Linked DNA regions of Callithrix jacchus. The protein of the gene in region 1 purifies or fractionates together with the protein of each later gene. This does not show direct contact. Links are inferred from orthologs where the notes say so. Each region holds a gene or a part of one and is shown on either strand. Other genes may lie near its edges.

Region 1 (10,170 bases):
CTGACTTTGCTACAGTTGACTACTCCAGTCGGGAGAGAGAGACTGAGAAGGCTATGGATCGACTAGGCAAGTAGATGGCAGAGACAGTGGAAGTTGGGGAGACCAAGGACGTGAGGAGAGGGATAGTCCTCTGTCTCATTTACCTCCTCTTTTAGCCCGTCTTCTCTGCTGCTTAGTGGCCTTTTCTGCCCAGTGTTGAACAGTACCCTCCTTTGGAAGCCTTACTTGGCGCTTCCTTAAGGGAAGTCCTGGACTTTCCTTATGTTCAAACGCATCCTTCTACCAAGAGAAACAGCTTGAAATGGTGAAAATAGTACACCAATTTCCCCTTTTTCCTTGGGGGTACATTCTAAGAACCCCCCCAGTGGATGCCTGAAACTGCTTTATTTCCCTGTATATACTATCTCTGATGAAGTTTAACTTATAAAGTATGCATATGTGGTTAATAACAATGAGAATGTGGAACAGTTATGCCAACATGCTGTAATACAAGTTAGGTGAACGTGTCCTCTCTCAAAGTATCTTACTTGTACCTTACCATGGATAATTGAAACCATGGAAAGCAAAACTGAATAAACGGGGAGATTACTTTATAGGCTTTGGAGCCAGGCAAATTGTTTTTGGTTTCCCTGCTGGGTCAGAGAGTCATGGGCTTGATTTTTATGGCCTTAGATAACTCACTTAGCCTTTCCCATCTTTAAAATAGGGCTAATACGTGCCTCATTGGGGTCATTATGAGGTTTGGGTGAAAGTATCTAGAGCGATACTATCTAATAGAATAGCCATTAGCCACTGATGCTATGATAATTATAACTTAATAAAATGAGAAATTCACTTCCTTGTTTGCGCTATCAACATTTCTGGTGCTCAGTAGCCACGTGTTGCTAGCACTGGCCTGCTGGACAGCACAGCTTATAGAATACTTCCCTCATTGCAGATAGTGCTGGTCTAGATCAAGCACATAATATAGTCATGGGAAATAATGCTTATACAGGACTCACTATGTGCCAGGCACAGTTCTCAGTGTCTCTTTCTCTCCTTTTTTTTAGAGAGAGCCTGTCTGTTACCCAGGCTGGAGTGCAGTGGCATGATCTTGACTCACTGCAACCTCCACCTCCTGGGTTCAAGTGATTCTCCTGCTTCAGCCTCCCGAGTAGCTGGGACTGCAGGCTCGCATCACCATGCCAGGCTAATTTTTGTGTTTTTAGTAGAGAGAGATGGGGTTTCACCGTCTTGGCCAGGCTGGTCTCAAACTCCTAATCTTGTTATCTGCCCACCTGGGCCTCCCAAAGTGTGAGATTACAGGCATGAGCCACCATGCCTAGTCCCCTCCCTGGCTTTTTTCTTTCTTCCTTTCTTTTCTTTTCTTTTTTTTTAAGACGGGGTTTCACCATATTGGTCAGGCTGGTCTTGAACTCCTGACCTCAGGTGATGTGCCCGCCTCAGCCTCCCAAAGTGCTAGGATTACAGGTGTGAGCCACCGTGCCTGGTGTTCTTTCTTTTCTTTGTTTTTTTTTTGGACGGAGTTTTGCTCTTGTTGCCCAGGCTGGAGTGCAATGGTGCGATCTCGACTCACTGCATGCAACCTTCACCTCCATTCTCCTACCTCAGCCTACTAAGTAGCTGGGATTACAGGCATGTGCCACCATGCCCGGCTAATTTTTGTATTTTTAGTAGAAATGGGGTTTCATCATGTTGGCAAGGCTGGTTTCAAACTCCTGGCTTCGCATGATCCTTCTGTCTCAGCCTCCCAAAGTGTTAGGATTACAAGCGTGAACACCCGGCAACCCCCCCTTTTTTCCTTTTTTTTTTGAGATGGAGTCTTACTCTGTCGCCCAAACTGGAGTGCAGTGGTGTTCAGTGGTGTGATCTTGGCTCACAACCTCTGTCTCTTGGGTTCAAGTGATTCTCGTGCCTCAGCCTCCCGAGTAGCTGTGATTATAGGTGTGTACCACAGCGCCTGGCTAAGAGATTTTTGTATTTTTAGTGGAGAGGGAGTTTCACCATGTTGGCCAGGCTGCTCTCAAAATCCTGACCTCAGGTGATCCGCCCGCCTCGGCCTTCCAAAGTGCTGTGATTACAGGTGTGAGCCACTGCGCCTGGCCTTTTTTTTCTTTTAAAGCAACTCTTACAACAACCAGGAATGGTGGCTTATACCTGTAACCCCAGCACTTAGGAAGGCCAAGTTACGAGGTCAAAGATCGAGACCATCCTGGCCAACATGGTGAAACCCTGTCTCTACTGAAATATAAAAAATTAGCTGGGCATGGTGGCAGGCACCTGTAGTTCCAGCTACTTGGGAGGCTGAGGCAGGGTAATCACTTGAACCCGGGAGGCGGAGATTGCAGTGAGCGGAGATCGCACCATTGCACTCCAGCCTGGGTGACAGAGCAAGACTGAGTGTCAAAAAAAAAAAAATCATGGTAAAAGATACATAGCATATATTTACCATTTAACCATTTTACAGCATATAATTCAGTGGCCTTTTAGCACAATGGCAGTGTTGTGCAACCATCACCACTGTCTAGTTCCAGAATCTTCGTCACCCTAAGAGGAAACCCTGTGCTCACCAAGTAGTCATTCTCCCTTTCTTCCTTCCCTGAGCTCCTGGCAACCACTAATTTGCTTTCTGTCTCTGTGGATTTATCTATTCTGGATAGGCAAATGTGAGTTGCCTATAAATGGAATCATAACCAAATGTGGCCTTTTGTGTCTGGCTTCTTTCACTTTGTATATTTTCAAGGTACATTGTCAGCACTGCATTCCTTTTTATGGCTGAATCATTCCATGGTTTGGATATACCGCATTTTGTTTATCCGTTCATCCATTAATGGACATTTGTGTTGTGGTTACTTTTTGGTGATTGTAAATACTGCTGCTGTGAGCATCCTTGTTTTATTTGAACACCTGTTTTCAGTTCCTTTGGGTATATGTTTAGGACTGGGATTGCTGGGTCATATGGTAATTCTATATTTATGTTATGGAACTAGTTAAGTAAATTTCAGCTCAGTCACACTTTTTTTTTTTGAGACAGGGATCTCACTGTTGTCCAGGCTGGAGTACAATGGCACGATCTTGGCTCACTGCAGCCTCTGCCTCCCAGGCTAAGTGATCGTCCCACTTCAGCCTCCTGAGTGGCTGAGATTACAGGTGTGTGCCACCGCACCCAGCTACGTTTTTGGAATTTTTTGTAGAGACAGGGTTTTGCCGTGTTGTTCAGGCTGGTCTTGAACTCCTTGAGCTCAAGCAATCCACCCACCTCGGCCTCCCAAAGTGCTGGGTTTACAGGTGTGAGCCACTGCACCTGGCCCAGTCACATGTTTAGTAATTGACAAAACAGGAATTTGAAACCAGACAGTCTGTCTCTAGACCCCTTGCTCTGAATTATCACTTTATCGCTTATCACAGTTACTGTTGTTTCAGTATTCAGAGCATGGCTGTTTTTAGGCTGAATGTCTTGTCTCCTGGGACCTGGCATCACCATAGCACTAAGTGCTTGGAAATCCATTATCTTTTCCCAGTCTTTCTTCCATTTTTATGAGGTCTTTTGAAAATGTACCTTCTGGCCTCCCCGATGTCAGAAGGAGCCACTAGGTACTGCCATTGTGACTAGACAGGCTCTGGTCTTCTGTCTGCAGTGCCCCTGCTCCCCTTTGTCCTTGTGCTCACCTTTAACATGCTCTTTGAGGCAGAAGGGAAGAATAAAAGAGCAAAAGCTCAATTCAAGCTTGTATTTTGAAAGTGTGTTATTTATTAGAGGCCCTTTGCCCCAATGACATGCAAACCACCTGAAAACATAAACTGTCCCTGGCTTTCTTTGTAAATTAAAGGACTTGACAATTACTGGCCTTATATAAGACAAAACATCTTATTGAAAATAAATTATCAGCTCTTCTAAAAACATACACGGAACAGCATTTTTTTTTCGGGGGCGGGGACAGAGTCTCGGTCTGTTACCAGGCTGGAGTGCAGTGGCACGATCTTGGCTCACTGCAACCTTTGCCTCCTGGGTTCAAGCGATTCTCCTGCCTCAGCTTCCCAAGTAGCTAGGGTTACAGGCTTCTGCCACCATGCCCAGCTAGTTTTTGTATCATTAGTAGAGATGGCGTTTTACTGTGTTGGCCAGTCTGGTCTCAAACTCCTGACCTCAGGTAATTTGCCTGCCTTGGCTCCCAGAGTGCTGGTATCACAGGCATGAGCCACCGTGCCCAGCCCAGAACAGCATTTTTTAAGAAGTGCTCATTCCTGTTGCATTCTAAAGAATTAAAACAAACAAACAAACAAAAGGTGCTCATGTGACTAAAGAACACTCTATACACTTGCTTACTACCTTCTTAGTAAGTTTGCCAGAAATTTACTGAGCACACAGCAGGTCCTCTTTGGTTTGGCACTAAGGCTATCTTCTCTTTGATTTCTTAGCCTGCAGAGCACAGAGCGTCCCTAATGACAGTCCTGCCCAGGGTGAGGGTACCCATTCTGAAGAGGAAGGCTTTGCTGTGGATGAGGAGGACTCTGATGGAGAACTGAATACCTGGGAGCTGTCAGGAGGAACAAATTGTCCACCCAAGGAACAGCCTGGTGGTCTTTTTCATGAGGACTGGGACTTGGAGTTGAAAGCAGATCAAGGGAATCCATATGGTAGGTGTGGAGTCTCTGGGGTCCTGAACTGGTCTTCTCAGATACACCTATCAGACTAGCCCTGAAGGCAGACAGTTTGGAACAGCGGTCCACATCTATGAGCTTAGGCTGGTATCTGTTACAGGTCTGCAATTTCTGTGACATCTTCTCTTTTTTATTGAAAACAAACATATATGCAAATTTTGCCTTTGACTCTGTGATGTATCGCTGTTTTTTTTTTTTTTGAGATGGTGTCTTGTTCTGTTGCCCAGGCTGGAATGCAGTGGCATGATCTCGGGTCACTGCAACCTCTGCATCCCAGGTTCAAGTGATTCTCCTGCTTCAACCTCCCAAGTAGCTGGGACTACAGGTGTGTGCCACCACACCCGGCTAATTTTTTGTATTTTTAGTAGAGACGGGATTTCACCATGTTAGCCAGGATGGTCTCAATCTCCTGGCCTTGTGATCGCCCGCCTCAGCCTCCCAAAGTGCTGGGATCACAGGCATGAGCTACCGTGCCCGGCCATTTATTGCTGTTTTAACTTCAGAACTATTACTCTCTCCAAAAATCTCTGCTATGACTTGAGCAGCTGCAGATAGAAGTGCTGTGTTATCCAGTTTGCTTCCTCTCCACTGCTAAGAACCCTTGTCTGAGAAGCACAGCTTCTCAGCTGTTCAGAATGAACACATTTACAATTCTTCAGGAAAGGAGGATTCTGTGTTTTTAAACAAAATAAGTCCAACGTTTTGGCTGTCCGTTTTTACCTTCCTTCCCTTAATCTGTCTTTTAAAACTGCCTGCAGATGCTGATGACATCCAGGAGAGCATTTCTCAAGAGCTCAAACCTTGGGTGTGCTGTGCGCCACGAGGAGACATGATCTATGACCCCAGCTGGCACCATCCGCCTCCATTGATACCCCATTATTCCAAGATGGTCTTTGAAACAGGACAGTTTGACGATGCTGAAGATTGAGTGTGGAGCTTTCTGCCTTGTAGATGGGTGGGCCTCCGTGTCAGGATCTCTTTTCCTGTCTTGGAGGTGAAAAGCTGTATCTGAGAAAATGTTCACGGTGATCCCTAGTCTGGGGTACACAGACCAGTGTTCAATAAGGCCCCATTGTTCTCCTCAGTCTGTTGCTGTTCTTAATGGGCTCCTCCTTGGAATGTGTGTGTGTTTGTGTCAGAGGAGTTGTGTTCTTTGTAAATAAATGTTAAAAAAAAAAAAACCAGTATGCTTCGTCTGCATTTTTCCCATTTATTTATTTATGGAGACAGTCTCACTGTTGTTGCCCAGGCTGGAGTGCAGTAGCGCAATCTTGGCTCACTTGCCACCTCTACTTCCTAGGTTTAAGCAATTCTTGTACCTTAGCCTCCTGAGTAGCTGGGACTATAGGTATGCGCCACCATCCCCTGGTAATCTTTTGTATTTTCAGTAGAGACAGGGTTTCACCATGTTGGCCAGGTGTGAGCTGCTGAGCCTGGCCTGCTTTTTTCCCTTTTAATTAGATACTTCTGAGTAGTCCCTCCATCCCTCCCTTTCTTTCTTCCTCCCTTCTGTCTTGCTCTGTTGCCCAGGCTGGAGTAGTGGTGCAGTGTTGGCTCACTGCACCCTCTGCCTCCCAGGTTCAAGCAATTCTGCCTTGCCTCCTGAGTAGCTGGGATTACAGGTGCCCACCACCATGCCCATCTAATTTTTGTATATTTAGTGGAGACTGGGTTTTGTCATGTTGGCTGTGTTGGTCTCGAACTCCTGACCTCAGGTGATCCAACTGCCTTGGCATCCTGAAATGCTGGGATTTACAGGTGTGAGCCACCTTACCCGGCCTTCACTCCTTCACTTAAAGTCCCTGAATGACATTTTTTTTTTTTTGGAGATGGAGTCTCAATCTTGCCCAGGCTGGAGTGCAGTGGTGTGATCTGGGCTCACTGCAACCTTTGCCTCCTCAGTTCAAGGGATTCTCTTGCCTAAGCCTCCCAAGTAGCTGAAACTACAGGCTCGTGCCACCATGCCTGGCTCATTTTTTGTATTTTTAGTAGAGATGGGGTTTCACCATGTTAGCCAGGATGGTCTCAGCCTTCCAAAGTGCTGGGATTACAGGTATGCCCTGAATGACATTTTAAGAATTCAAACGTTTGGATGCCTTAAACAACTCTGTGAAAGAAAAAAATTTAGTTTTGCTTCTGTAGATCTAGCACTGTTGATCAAGGATGGGAATCTAGGAGACATTGGTGATTTTTGTAGCTGGTTTATTTTCCTGTTCATAGAAAATGGAACATATACTTAGTTAACAGGCTCCCTAGGCCGATAAACTAAATGGGAAATTAGTTAAACCAGTGGTTGCATAATCCTTAGTTGACATGAAACTCAGTTTTTCATTTAATCTTTTTTTTTTTTTTTGAGATGAAGTCTCGCTTTGTCACCCAGGCTGGAGTGCAGTGGTGAGATCTTTGCTGACTGCAACCTCCGCCTCCCGGGTTTAAGCAATTCTCCTGCCTCACCCTCCCCAATAGCTGGGACTAAACGTAGTGTGCCACTACTCCCAGCTAACTTTTGTATTTTTAGTGGAGATGGGGTTTCACAATTACTTACTTGCAGTTCCTCTTAAAAATTTACCTCATTTTAGAGATGGGAATGAAGACTCAAAATGTTTTGACCAGGCCGGGCATGGTGGCTCACACCTGTAATCCCAGCACATTGGGAGGCTGAGGCAGGTGGATCACCTGAGGTCAGGAGATTGAGACCATCCTGGCTACATAGTGAAACCTTGTCTCTACTAAAACTACCAAAAATTAGCCGGATGTGGTGGCACGTGCCTGTAGTCCCAGCTATTTAAGAGGCTGAGGCAGAAGAATTGCTTGAACCCGAGATCATGCCACTGCACTCCAGCAGGGGCAACAAGGCAAGACTGTCTCAAAAAAAATCACACAGTGAGCAGCAGAAATAGGACCTAGATGCACATGTGACTCAAGGTCCGTTCTTGACCCTGCATATGTGCGAAGATAGCAGCATGGTCTGGGCCACGCCCTGGCAGGTCTAGGATACACTAGAGTAAGTCACCTTTGTGTCTCACAGGCTCAGGAATTGTTTCATATCTTCCTGCCTCCTTATTGAAGCTGACTCAAGAAAAGCTTTCAGATAAGAAATTTTTAGTATACCCCATAGCAGTTAATTGAGCATTTAACTATTTAAACTGTTTTTCTTTCTTTTCTTTTTTTTTGTGATAGAGTCTCACTCTGTTGCCCAGGCTGGAGTGCAAAGGTGCAATCTCAGCTCACTGCAACTTCCACCTCCCAGGTTCAAGCGATTCTCCTGCCTCAGCCTCCCAAGTAACTGGGATTACAGGCACCTGCTGCCACACCTGGCTAATTTGTATTTTTAGTAGAGATGGGGTTTCACCATGTTGGTCAGGCTGGTCTAGAACTCCTGACCTCGTGATCCACCCACCTGGGCCTCCAAAAGTGCTGGGATTACAGGCATGAGCCACTGCACCCAGCCTCCTTAAACTGTTTTTCAAAGGTCCTGCAAGGGGTATGAACAAGGCAGAACCTTGTGAGGGAAGGCAGTGGCTTTGGCGGTGAGGGGAGTCATGGCCAAAGCTGTCCTAGGGAGGAAAAAATGTCCCTTCCACTGTCTTTGCTAAAAGGGCAGTGGTAGATCATATCACCATACCCCCCTTTCCTCCTCCTCTCAAGGTCATAGATGATGAGACCATGAGTATGTCTGGCATGAAAAGGTAAACTTGAGAAATGGAGCCAGGAGATATTAGGGGCTTGAGGAGGATGGCAGAACTGCTGAAATGGAAAGGTCATGTTGAAAGGTAGTGTTGGTCCACGTGTGAGCAGGAGCTATGAGACGGCTGAAACTGTGAGTAAAGGTGGAAGTTGTGAGTTGGGGTATTATATATATAGGTGGGCGGGAGGGAAAGAAAAAAATAGAATGAAAAGCATATGTGCATGAGTAGCTAAGCAAATAAAATTCACACAGTGTTAACTGCTGTGATCTGTGGAAGAGTTGTGAATTTAGGACTCTGTTTTGCTTTTTATTTTTTATTTACTTTTTTTTTTGAGATGGAGTTTCGCTCTTGTTACCCAGGCTGGAGTGCAATGGCACAATCTCGGCTCACCGCAACCTCCACCTCCTGGGTTCAGGCAATTCTCCTGCCTCAGCCTCCTGAGGAGCTGGGATTACAGGCACGCGCCACCGTGCCCAGCTAATTTTTTGTATTTTTAGTAGAGACGGGGTTTCACCATGTTGACCAGGATGATCTCGATCTCTTGACCTCGTGATCCACCCGCCTCGGCCTCCCAAAGTGCTGGGATTACAGGCATGAGCCACTGCGCCCGGCCTTTATTTACTTTTTTTGAGACGAAGTTTCGCTCTTATTGCCCAGGCTGGAGTGCAGTGGTTCGATCTTGGCTCACTACAGCCTCCGCCTCCCAGGCTCAAGCAATTCTTCTGCCTCAGCTTCTCTAGTAGCTGGGATTACAGGCGTGTACCACTACGCCTGGCTAATTTTTGTATTTTTACTAGAGACAGGGTTTCACCCTGTTGGTCAGGCTGGTCTCAAACTCCTGACCTCGTGATCCTCCCGTCTTGGCCTCCCAAAGTGCTGGGATTGCAGGCATGAGCCACCATGCCTGGCCTGTTTTGCTTTTTAAAAGTTAATCTTTGCTGTACCTCCTTCTGGTAGTTTCTGTCGGGGTGGGTAGGAGGGAAATAGGGTTTACTGGAGTAAGAAGGTAGGATTTTTTTTTTTTTGAAGACGTAGTCTTGTTCTGTCACCCAGGCTGGAGTGCAGTGGTGAGATCTTGGCTCACTACTGCCTCTGCCTCCTGGGTTGAAGCTATTCTTCTGCCTCAGACTCCTGAGTAGCTGGAATTACAGGTGTGTATCACCACGCCTGGTTAATTTTTGTAATTTTAGTGGAGATGGGGTTTTGCCACATTGGCCAGGCTGGTCTCAAACTCCTGACCTCGAGTGATTCGCCTGCCTTGGCCTCCCAAAGTGCTGGGATTACAGGCATGAGTCGCCAAAATATTTTCTTAAAAAGGACATTAAGGCTGGACGTGGTGGCTCACACCTGTAATCCCAGCACTTTGGGAGGCCGAGGCAAGTGAATCACCTTAGGTCGGGAGTTAGAGACCAGCCTGACTAACATGGAGAAACCCCGTCTTTAAAAAAAAAGAAAGACATTAATGGTTTTTATGGTTGAAAGTTGAGTGTTAGGAGAACAAGAAAAGAGGAGAGGAACTAACCAATTGTTTTTTTTTTTTTTTTTTTTTTTTTTTAGATAGAGTCTCACTCTGTCACCCAGACTCGAGTGCAGTGGCACCATCTTGGCTCACTGCAACCTCCACCTTCTGGGTTCAAGCAATCCTCCTGCCTCAGCCTCCTGAGTAGTTGGGACTACCGGTGCATGCCACCGTGCCCAGCTATTTTTTTTTTTTTGTATTTTTAGTAGGGACAGGGTTTCACTATATTGCCCAAGATGGTCTTGAACTCCTTACCTGAATCAATCTGCTCACCTCAGCCTTCCAAATTGCTGGGATTAC
Region 2 (11,219 bases), on another chromosome or scaffold:
AGCACTTTGGGAGACCGAGGCGGGTGGATCACGAGGTCAAGAGATCGAGACCATCCTGGTCAATATGGTGAAACCCCATCTCTACTAAAAATACAAAAAATTAGCTGGGCATGGTGGCACACGCCTGTAATCCCAGCTACTCAGGAGGCTGAGGCAGGAGAATTGCCTGAACCCAAGAGGCGGAGGTTGTGGTGAGCCGAGATTGCACCATTGCACTCCAGCCTGGGTAACAAGAGTGAAACTCCGTCTCAAAAAAAAAAAAAAAAAACGAAAAAATTAGCTGGGCATGGTGGCGCGCGCCTGTAGTCCCAGCTACTCAGGAGGCTGAGTCAGGAGAATTGTTTGAACCCAGGAGACGGAGGTTGCTGTGAGCCAAGATCGCGCCATTGCACTCCAGTCTAGGTAACAAGAGCGAAACTCCATCTCAAAAAAAAAAAGAAAAAAGAAACAAAAACAGAAAAAAACATATTCCTGGTCAAGGCATGGTGGCTCATGTTTGTAATCCCAGCACTTTGGGAGGCAGAGGCAGGCAGCTCACCTGAGGCCAACATTACTAAATCCTGTTTCTACTAAAAACACAAAAATGAGTTGCACATGGTAGTGCTCTTCCATAATCCCAGCTACTCTGGAGGCTGAGGGAGGAAAATCACTCGAATCAGAAAACCGAGGTTGCAGTGAGCTGAGGCCAAAGCATTGCACTCCAGCCTGGGTGACAGAGAGAGACTCCATTTCAAAAAAAGTAGTAAGAAGAAAATAAAACACATTCCTATCTTATTGAGGTTAAATTGTACAAAATGTGTCTTACAAATGATACCAAAGATAACGAATATGTGCTTAATCTCTGGATGGGAAAGGACTTTCTAAGCTTCAAGACAAATCTCAAAGGAACACATCCATGGCTTTGACATCTCAAAATTTAAAACTTCTACATGTCTAAACATTAAAAACCAATCATAGGCTGGGTGCAGTGGCTCACATCTGTAATCCCAGCACTTTGGGAGGCTGAGGTGGGCAGATCACTTGAGGTCAGGGGTTCCAGACCAGCCTGGCCAACATGGTGAACCTCATCTCTACTAAAAATACAAAAATTAGCTGAGTGTGATGGTGTATACCTGTAATCCCAGCTATTTGTTGTTGTTTTTTTTTTCCTTTTTTTGAGTGGGAATCTCTCTCCCTTGCCCAGGCTGGAGTACAGTGGCAGGATCTCTGCTCACTGCAACTTTCACCTCCTGGGTTCAAGTGATTCTCCTGCCTCAGCCTCTTGAGTAGCTGGTGGTGGTGCCCACCACCATGCCCAGCTAAATTTTGTGTTTTTAGTAGAGACTGGGTTTCACCATGTTGGCCAGGCTGTCTCAAACTCCTGACATCAAGTGATCCACTCACCTTAGCCTCCGAAAGTGCTGGGATTACAGGTGTGAGCCACTGTGCTCAGTCTATCCCAGCTATTGCAAGAATTGCTTGAACCCAGGAGGTGGAGGTTGCAGTGAGCCGAGATCGCGCCATTGCACTCCAGCCTGGGTAACAAGAGCAAAACTCTGTCTCAAAAAAAAAAAAAAAAAAAAAGAGCTCTGTAAAGTATAAGATGTATACCAAGACAGTAAGATCAATGAGGCAAGATGATGAACTATTTTTTTTTTTTTTTGAGACGGAGTCTTGCTCTGTTGCCCAGGCTTGAGTGGAGTGGTATGATCTCATTTCACTGCAACCTCCACCTCCTGGGTTCAAATGATTCTCCTGCCTCAGCCTCCTGAGTAGCTAGAATTACAGGTACATGCCACCACACCTGGCTATTTTTTAAATTTTTAGTAGAGACAGGGTTTCAGCATGTTGGTCAGGCTGGTCTTGAACTCCCAACCTTGTGATCCACCTGCATAGGCCTCTCAAAGTGCTGGAGTTACAGACATGAGCTACTTCACCCAGCCTGATTATGAACTTTTTATATTAAAAAAACCTTTGCCCGAGCATGGTGGCGGATGCCCCTAATCTCAGCACTTTGGGGGGCCAGGTGGGCAGGTCACTTGAGGCCAGGAGTTCCAGAACAGCTTGGCCAACATGGTGAAACCCCATCTGGACTAAAAACTTTTAAAAAGTAGCAAGGTGTGGTGGCAAACGTGTAATACTTCTACTTGGGAGGCTGAGGCGCGAGAATTGGTTGAACCTGGGAGGCAGAGGTTGCAGTGAGGCAAGATTGCACCACTGCACTCCAGCCTGGGTGATGACGGAGTGAGACTGTCTCAAAAACAAAACCAAACAAAAAAACCTTCTTTCATGACCAAACATGGTGGCTCTCACCTGTAATCCTAGTACGTTTCTTTGGGAGGCTGAGGTGGGATGATTCCTTGAGCCCAAGAGTTCAAGACCAGCCTGGGCAACAATGTAAGATGCCATTGCTACAAAAAAATAAAAAAGTTATCTGAGCAAGGTGGCACATGCCTGTGGTCTACCTACTCAGGAGGTTGGGGCAGGAGGATCATTTGAACCCAGGAGGTAGAGGTTGTGGTGAGCCATGTTTGCACTACTGCACTCCAGTCTGGGTGACGGAGTGAGGCCATGTCTCAGAAAAAAAAAAAAAGGAAAATAAAAATAAAAATTAAAAAACCTTTTTTACGTAAGTTGGACAATTTATGTAAAAGAGAATTGGCTATAAATGTATGAAATTTATTCTACCTCACTAGTATTTTTTTTTTTTTTGAGATGGAGTTTCATTCTTGTTGCCCAGGCTGGAGTGCAATGGCGTGACCTCAGCTCTCTGCAACCTCTGCCTCCTGGGTTTAAGCAATTCTCCTGCCTCAGCCTCCAAAGTAGCTGGGATTACATGCAAGCGCCACCATGCCTGGCTAATTTTTGTTTTGTTTTCTTTGAGTTGGAGTCTTGCTTTGTTGCCCAGGCTGGAGGGCAGTGGTGTGATCTCTGCTCACCGCTTCCTCTGCTTCCTGGGTTCAGGCAATTCTCCTGCCTAGCCCTCCTGAGTAGCTGGGATTACAGGCACATGCCACCACACCTGGCTGATTTTTGTTATCTTTAGTAGAGGTAGGGTTTCACCATGTTGGCCGGGATGGTCTCCAACTCCTGACCTCAAGTGATTCACCTGCCTCAGCCTCCCAAAGTGCTGGGATTACGGGTCTGAGCCACTGCACCTGGTGGGAGTCTCTCTTTCTGATGACCTCAGCCACAGTGCCTTCTGAAATGGTACCACAGGTATGTGCTTCTAGTTCTGTTTGCAGCAGAGTGCATGGCATGTACCATCATTCCCTCTGCCTGCTCTCTATTTGCGTCTCCCTCACATCCAGCAAGACTTTTCCTTTATACAGGACTTGCAGTTAACACCCTTGCCAAGGCCGAAGTGGCCTTTGAAGATCAGGCCCTCCTTAGCTCTGGGCTCCTGTGTTTCTTTGGATGTCCTCTCTACTTTCCTCAAACCTGTCAAAACTGGATTCGGCCTCTGTGGCACTGGGTTTGGAAACATGCTTTGCCCGAATCTTCCGAGGGTGGCACTCAGGCCTGCACTACCTGAGTTAGCCCTGCGGCAGGGTCCAACACTACCTTATGGTTAATTTATTGCCTGTGTCCACGAGAGCTGGGGTGAAGAGGGCAGCCAGATTAGACAGAGGGAGGCCTGGGAAGCTCTGGAGTCTTCGGTTTTGGGCAGTGCTGCTAGAAACCACGAACATTACTCATCTCGCAGCCTATGTGCACACCGGGTGACCCAGGGGCCTCGAATGCAGGGTCTCCACCTGGGGAATCACGCACTGTTACCAATTCAGCGCTGGGATGATTCAGCCGGAGCCTATCCCAGCACAGAGGCCGGCACGCACCCGTAGAGGAGATCGCGCTCGCGAGGCAGTACCCGGCGACCCGTCCTCGTGCCAGGGCCCCAGGGCGTTCCAGGCCCGCCGACCCGGAGGTGGGTCAAGAGGTACAAAGGATGCAAGTTCGTTAGGCAAAAGCGGGGTACAGGCGCGAGCCACAGGCACGGGAACCCCGCGCCGACCAGCGCCCTAGGCCCGACGACGGCAGGTAAGGGGAAGTGGAGGCACACACGGCTGGGGCGTGCCCCAGGCACCATCCGGGAGGCTTCGGGTGCTGGACGTCCGCAGCCCTATAGTTCCCAAGACGCTCGGCAATCTGCAGCTGATCAGCTCCGGCCAGCTTTGGGATAAAGGGGAGACAGGCGGCGCGGGGAGTGGGAACACCCGAAGGCCGCGCTCCTCCTTTCAGGTCGGCCAGGAGCGCCCCGGTAAGACTGGGGGTAAGGGGTAGAAAGACGCCCACCTCATCACAACCCAGAGGTCGGGACTCCTATACAGCCCCATAGGGAACTGGCGGCGCCATTCCCCTCCCCCACGTTGGCGGGTAACGCTAGAGAACGGTTTCAAGGAAGACGCATGCGCAAGAAACAATTATAAACCGCTGAGGCTCCAAGTTCAATATTCGCGATCAAGCGCAGGCGCAATAAAAAGCCCGGCGGGTTAATGGGTGGGGGTGCTGAGTCCAAAACGCAGGCGTGTAATAATCTACCAACCGGAGGTAGGCTGATTCTTGAAGTTACGCATGCGTCAGAGCTCTTTGTGACGCAAGGGGGCGGGGCGAGCAGCTGGCTGCGCGTGCGCAGAGCTCGCACAAAGGGCCTTATTTAGGTTGCGCAAGCGCCTGTTGGCCATTTCGTCTTACCCACGCTGGAGTTGGGTGTCAGGGTGAGTTGCGGTCGGTCCTCCCTAGCTGTCCAGCGACCCCCGCTGTGGGGTCCGTTTTTGCTAGGATTGTTTTCCTCCCGACCTCTGGGAGGGCTGCGGGGATCTTGGCTAGCTGCGGGCAGCCATCGAGAACCGAAAGTTGTTCGCTGAATCCCAGCACCGCCGCCGAGGCCTGCAGGCCGCGCGGACTCTATTGTGTGAGAAGTCGGAGGAGGCGGAGCGGAAGCGGCCGCCGCCATTTCCTTGTCTCCACGCTGGCTCTCGACCCCCGCCCCCAGGGTTCGGAGCGCCGACAGCTGCTCCCCAGAGCAGCTTTGGGGGTCCGCTCGCTGGCCGAGGAAGTGTTGGGTGTTGGAGTCGCCGGGGTGGGTGCATCCGCCCGGTTTTTGCTCCGTAGGGCGGGTGGCGCGGGCCCGGGGGGGTACATCGGGGGCGGAGCACAGCTTAATGGGCGCTCTCAGGTCTGGTCCTCCTCCCCGCCTTGCAGTTTGTTTCGACGTCGGACCGCGTAAGAGACAATGATGTTGGGCACCGAAGGTGGAGAGGGATTCGTGGTGAAGGTCCGGGGGTTGCCCTGGTCTTGCTCGGCCGATGAAGTGCAGAGGTTTTTTTCTGGTGAGTTACCACTAGAACGCGGGAGTTCGAGTTCGAGGCCTGGGCGGGCGGGCTGGCGGGCGGGCTGGCGGGCAGCCGGGCTGGGGCGGGCCGGGCGGGACTCGGGGCGCCCCCTGGCGTGGCGCGGATGACTGCAGTTCCCGCTGTGCTGTTCGCGCCCCGCCGACCGCTGTTACGCAATGGAAATTTCGAAAGCCCCGCCGCCTTCCTGTTTCTTGGAGTGCTGCCGATCTGGTAGACTTGTTTTCTTTACCTGCCTTTGAACACCAGCTCTTCTTTTTTTTTCCGTTTTCGGCTCACTGCGATTCGGGTTGAAGCGATTCTCCTTGCCGCAGGCTCCGGAATAGGTGGGATTACAGGCGTGTGTCACTATGCCTGGCTAACTTACTGTACTCTTTTTCTTTTTTAAGACGGGGTTTCAACATGTTGGTTGGGCTGGTCTTGAATTCCCGATCTCAGGTGATCCGCCCGCCTTGGCCTCCAAAGTGCGTGGATTACAGGCGTGAACCACCACGCCCGGCCATCTTTTTGTATTTTTAGTAGAGACGGGGGTTTCACCATATTGGACAGGCCGGTCTCGAACTCCTGACCTGAAATGATCGGCTGCCTCGGCCTCCCAGAAGTGCTTGGGATTACAGGCGTGAGCCACTGCTCCCTGTCTGGGTATCTTTTGGAAAGGATAAATTGGCATAGATGGGATTTCTTCTTGAATCTTGAGAAAAATCTCCCGAGTGATTAGACAAATTGTAATGTTTTGGAATATCTTGAAGTGTAACCTCTTGTTTACAGTTTCGGTGTTTCCTTGAAAATGAGCATTCTGCTTCGGAAAGTTAAAGTGTCACGTCTTAATTTCGGTTTTCCTAATCAAGATTTGGTAATTGAGATGTGTTTGCTAGTCTAGTTCTTGATATGGCTCTCTATACAGTTGAAGACGCTGAAGCCCAGGGAAGTTTTCTTGCCTGTGTAAATTTTTTTCCAGTACACAGTTTTCCTGAGTATTTTCTATCAGAATGTTCTTGTTCGCAGCATTAGACTGGGGAAAAGAAATTAGTTTAGACTGATGAAATTCTATTTGGATGAAATTGACAGCTTTTGGTAAGACGTTTGTAGTGTTGACTTACTATCTGAATTTAGCGTTGGTAATGGAAAACGACCTGTAAAACAAGAACCAAGTACACTGGAAGCCACCTTGCAGGGGGCAACACTGGGTTTGGCTGCAGCTGTGCAGCTTGGAGCATTTTAGCTTGGTAACACTGATTCCCTTTCAGGTTAGTATTGGGCCTGCAATTTGGATTTGAATGAGAAACCGTAATGTCGCTGCTGGTAAAGTAAAACTGACAAATGCACCAGACCAAAACAACTCACAACGAAGTATGTTTGCCATAAAGTCACAAAGTACAGACTTGATAGTATTCTGAGAAATTGATAAAAGATTTGTGATGGAGACATGAGTAACAAGGACTCAAAAGAGAAATTCATTCTGTAACTGCTTTGAATATTGGATGTTGATGGGTTGGAAATAGATCCCCTTGGGAATGAGATTTCTTTTTTAATTGGCATTCTAGGAGTTGGTGATACCGTGGTCATTATAGTCTTCACAAGTTAATGTAATTTTTGGCGTGGGGGACATGGAATAGGTATTTCATCTGTGTCACCCAGAGGTGGTTTTAGGTTTTAAATTCTGTATTAACGGTTGTTTTCTTTCCAGACTGCAAAATTCAAAATGGGGCTCAAGGTATTCGTTTCATCTACACCAGAGAAGGCAGACCGAGTGGCGAGGCTTTTGTTGAACTTGAATCAGAAGATGAAGTCAAATTGGCCCTGAAAAAAGACAGAGAAACTATGGGACACAGATATGTTGAAGGTTTGATTTACGTTGCCCTAGTAACAGTAAATAAAGCGTTGCATATAGAGGTCTTACCCCTTCTGAATTTTAGGTATTTGACCGCATGGAAATGGTTATCTAAGGGAGTTTGTGGCAGCTCTTCCTAGCTTATCTAAAGACCCAGGAAGTCTGAACTTCGATATCTAATTTTCCAAAATTGACTAATTCTAAGCACCTCTTTCAGTATTCAAGTCAAACAACGTTGAAATGGATTGGGTGTTGAAGCATACTGGTCCAAATAGTCCTGACACGGCCAATGATGGCTTTGTACGTCTTAGAGGACTTCCCTTTGGATGTAGCAAGGAAGAAATTGTTCAGTTCTTCTCAGGTATGTAGTCCTGTTTGTTGCTGAGCAGTGAGTTTTGGCTAGCTTCTGGCAAGGTGATTTAATAAACCTTAAAGTTGAGTAGCTTAGGTCTTTAACTAGGTTGTAAATTTATGCCAATATTTTCTTCCTAGAGACCTTCAAATAATTTAAGCCCATCTTAAAGGTGGAAATGAAATACTTCCAAAATGTTAACTTTGCCTATATTTAGTATTATAGTTCAGAGTAGATCTTTCATTGAGGATTGCCCTCAACAGCTTAACTACTTTCCTCACATTGCTGTCCAGCTAAGTACCTCAAGTTAAAGGTAAGATCCCTTAACATCAGATTAGTATGATGAATTAGGTTGTTGTAAGTTATGGCAGGTGTCTGTGTTGCAAGAGACGCTTGGGTCATGGGACCAGAAACATCTCTTCTAATGGTCTTAATTCTCTTTAATGCAAAAGTCTATTATGAAAGACTTGGTTTAACCAGTGTGTTACAAACTTATTGAAAATCAGATGTAATGAGAGTAGGTTGAATGCTTGTAGTTTCAGTATCTGAAGTAACAAGTGTTGAAATTGTTTGTGGGCCTAAAGTATTTGAATGTTTTTATGCTGAAGAGCTGATAAGATTGCATGTTTAACAGAATGTTAGATATCTTATGTTTTAAGTATTAATATTTATGATGTGATAAACTGGAAGCAAGAAGTCCTTTCATGGTTTATTGTATATTAGAAATTTATATATGTATAAAGTCCTAATGTCAGAATTTTTAAAATCGTCTATTTTGTTTTTAATCTACATTGGTGAGAATTGAATGCTATCTGTCAACGTTAAATATGAACATAATTTCATATCTTCTAGGAAAGTGCTTTAAGTCCTTTTTGTAAGCTTGAGAATGTATCCACGGAAAGGATTTTTCATAGACGGAATTTCCAGAAGTGAATCATACTACTGTTAGAGCATAAGCAAGCATGATTGTCTGGTGTAGATCAGTTTTGTTGAAAATTTAGATTGTTATGTTTGTCAATAATGATTTAATGTTTTCAGTTTTTATATGAAATGTTTAAATGTGTACCTTTTTTAAAAGCTGAAGTTCCAATAACTTAAAGCATTGAAATATAAAATGAGGTAAAAGGTGTTTTGAATTTAGTAAAACTGTTTAATGCTTAAAACTTAATTGAATTTTTGTATAATTCTCAACATTAAGTTAGTTGTATTGATACGTGTTCTTAAGTTGAATTCTTAATGCATCCTGTGTTCAGCAAGTTGGTTTTAAAAAAATATATACTGTACCATGGGTGTGTTAAGAATAGTTATATTTTGTAATAATGGAACTTCATATTATTGAAATGCATATTTAAAGAGTACTTGTTGAAAGCATACCATTCACCTAAAGTTAAAAATTCTGGTTTATTTAAAGCTATAAGAAGAATCATTTCTGGGCTTGTGATGTTAATATTGCCCCCCTACTGGGGTTATTTGTCCTTGGGTTGAAGGGTTGGAAATCGTGCCAAATGGGATAACATTGCCGGTGGACTTCCAGGGGAGGAGTACGGGGGAGGCCTTCGTGCAGTTTGCTTCACAGGAAATAGCTGAAAAGGCTCTAAAGAAACACAAGGAAAGAATAGGGCACAGGTGGGGATGGATGGTTGGTTGGATATGTCACTTTTCTTATGGTAAATAATTAAATCCATATTCTCTCTGCTTAAAAGAAGAAATTAATGTTTTGTAGTCCTAGTTAATTGATGTTTTGCCATGATTTCTAAACTTCCTGTGTCAGAGTCCCATGTCATATGAAAACTAAATTTTAGGTTTAAAATTTGTCCCTAGTTAATTGGTCTACTTTACAATTTTGTGAGTCTTATTAACCCCAATAGAGTTGAGAGACTATGGCTTTAAAAAATTAATGCAAACCTCGCTTTAGCTGTAATAACAACCACCTAGTAAATTAATATTACCATAAGAAATTGTGATACTTTCTGATCTTGTTTTTAAAGTTGAAATGCAACAAACTTTTTCTTGCTGTATATAAATATTCTGCATAGTATTAATAAGCATAGCTTTCAAGAAATTGTCACAAAAGGTTTTATTCTCTTTGCTTGTGACTATTTTTCATTGAAGCATGCGCTTACCTATGCTGATTCTTACTAAAAGCATAGGCTGGGATATTTATTGGCGAAAGGAAATGTGTAGTGTGGGCTAGACTGTTGGTGGAGACTGGCTTTTTAGCCCACTTGCTATACATGCTGCCAATGGATTTAAGACTTGAAATGTTGAAAGTTGAGTGGAATTATTTCCCTCCTAAAACATTTATATACAGTACTCCTCTCTTACCCCTAAGGTTGGGCTCTGCCTCAGAGGAGTGAGTTTTTTTTTTCCTATAAAGTATACATTAAGTCTTACTATTTATTGAGTGGATTTCTGGTCATTGCCTATGCAAATATAAGAAATCTGGCTCTAAATATTAGTCAGTTTCATGGCTGTGACTAGATTGTTTTCTTGTATAACTAAATACCTGTATAAAATGAACTAATGTTCTCTCTCCCCTCCCTACCCCTTCCTTATGAACAATGCTTTAGGTATATTGAAATCTTTAAGAGCAGTAGAGCTGAAGTTAGAACTCACTATGACCCACCACGAAAGCTTATGGCCATGCAGCGGCCAGGTCCCTATGACAGACCTGGGGCTGGCAGAGGATATAACAGCATTGGCAGAGGAGCAGGCTTTGAAAGGATGAGGCGTGGTGCTTATGGTGGAGGTGCGTGAGGATTCTTAAGGTTTGGCAAGTCAGTTCCTTTGTGTAGGTGTTGTGTTTGATTGATGGTACATTTTTTTTTGTCTTTCAGGCTATGGAGGCTATGATGATTACAATGGCTATAATGATGGCTATGGATTTGGGTCAGATAGATTTGGAAGAGGTAAGGTAAGAATTGAATTTCTCAGTTGAAGGATGCTTACACTCTTGTCCATCTAGACCTCAATTACTGTTTTTCAGGAATGTCTGATCACAGATACGGGGATGGTGGCTCTACTTTCCAGAGCACAACAGGACACTGTGTACACATGCGTGGATTACCTTACAGAGCTACTGAGAATGACATTTACAATGTAAGTGTAAGACGGAACTCACAAGTCAGTATTTCAGTATGACAGTAAAAGTCTCAACTTTATTGTACTATAAAGGGAACACCATGTTAGAGATTTTAGTTTCATTTTGTAACGTTAGGAAGTTGATTCAGTTTTTTGAACTGCCTTGTGTTGTAGTTTTTTTCACCACTCAATCCTGTGAGAGTACACATTGAAATTGGTCCTGATGGCAGAGTAACTGGTGAAGCAGATGTCGAGTTTGCAACTCATGAAGATGCTGTGGCAGCTATGTCAAAAGACAAAGCAAATATGCGTAAGTGTGATTGAGCACTTATGGGCTCATTCTTAGGTGATTGTGTGACTAACATTTACAATAGAGGAATAGAAAAATAATATATGAGAAGTTTCCTTTCCAGTAATAGATTGATTCTTGGGGAACAGGGTGGGGTGTGTTAAAGGTTTGGTTTTTAAAAATTAGTTTAACAGATTTGTGATACACATCTTACATCTTGAAGTATATATCCTTTATTGACAATATAGATGAATATGTAAAGGCTAGATTTTGAAGTTATAAAGATCACCTAAGAGAAGTAACAAGTCTTTGCCCAAGTATTTGAAGTTCATAGAT

The links.
Region 2: the proteins of COPRS (region 1) and HNRNPH1 purify together in Homo sapiens (co-immunoprecipitation; 3 studies listed by BioGRID and IntAct, with this or other methods). This does not show direct contact. The link is inferred for Callithrix jacchus from reciprocal best matches to the Homo sapiens genes COPRS and HNRNPH1.

Annotation. Positions count from the first base shown.
Region 1 is NC_133506.1:102,332,018-102,342,187, forward strand, and holds the end of COPRS (coordinator of PRMT5 and differentiation stimulator), read left to right. Parts: coding exon 1-66; intron 67-4,419; coding exon 4,420-4,638; intron 4,639-5,420; coding exon 5,421-5,590; 3' UTR 5,591-5,746; downstream 5,747-10,170. UniProt on the Homo sapiens protein: Histone-binding protein required for histone H4 methyltransferase activity of PRMT5.
Region 2 is NC_133503.1:72,025,299-72,036,517, forward strand, and holds the start of HNRNPH1 (heterogeneous nuclear ribonucleoprotein H), read left to right. Parts: upstream 1-3,817; 5' UTR 3,818-3,904; exon of another isoform or gene 3,905-4,017; intron 4,018-4,655; exon of another isoform or gene 4,656-5,059; intron 5,060-5,181; 5' UTR 5,182-5,212; coding exon 5,213-5,309; intron 5,310-7,017; coding exon 7,018-7,173; intron 7,174-7,378; coding exon 7,379-7,522; intron 7,523-9,000; coding exon 9,001-9,139; intron 9,140-10,083; coding exon 10,084-10,262; intron 10,263-10,350; coding exon 10,351-10,422; intron 10,423-10,478; coding exon 10,479-10,612; intron 10,613-10,768; coding exon 10,769-10,904; intron 10,905-11,219. UniProt on the Homo sapiens protein: This protein is a component of the heterogeneous nuclear ribonucleoprotein (hnRNP) complexes which provide the substrate for the processing events that pre-mRNAs undergo before becoming functional, translatable mRNAs in the cytoplasm.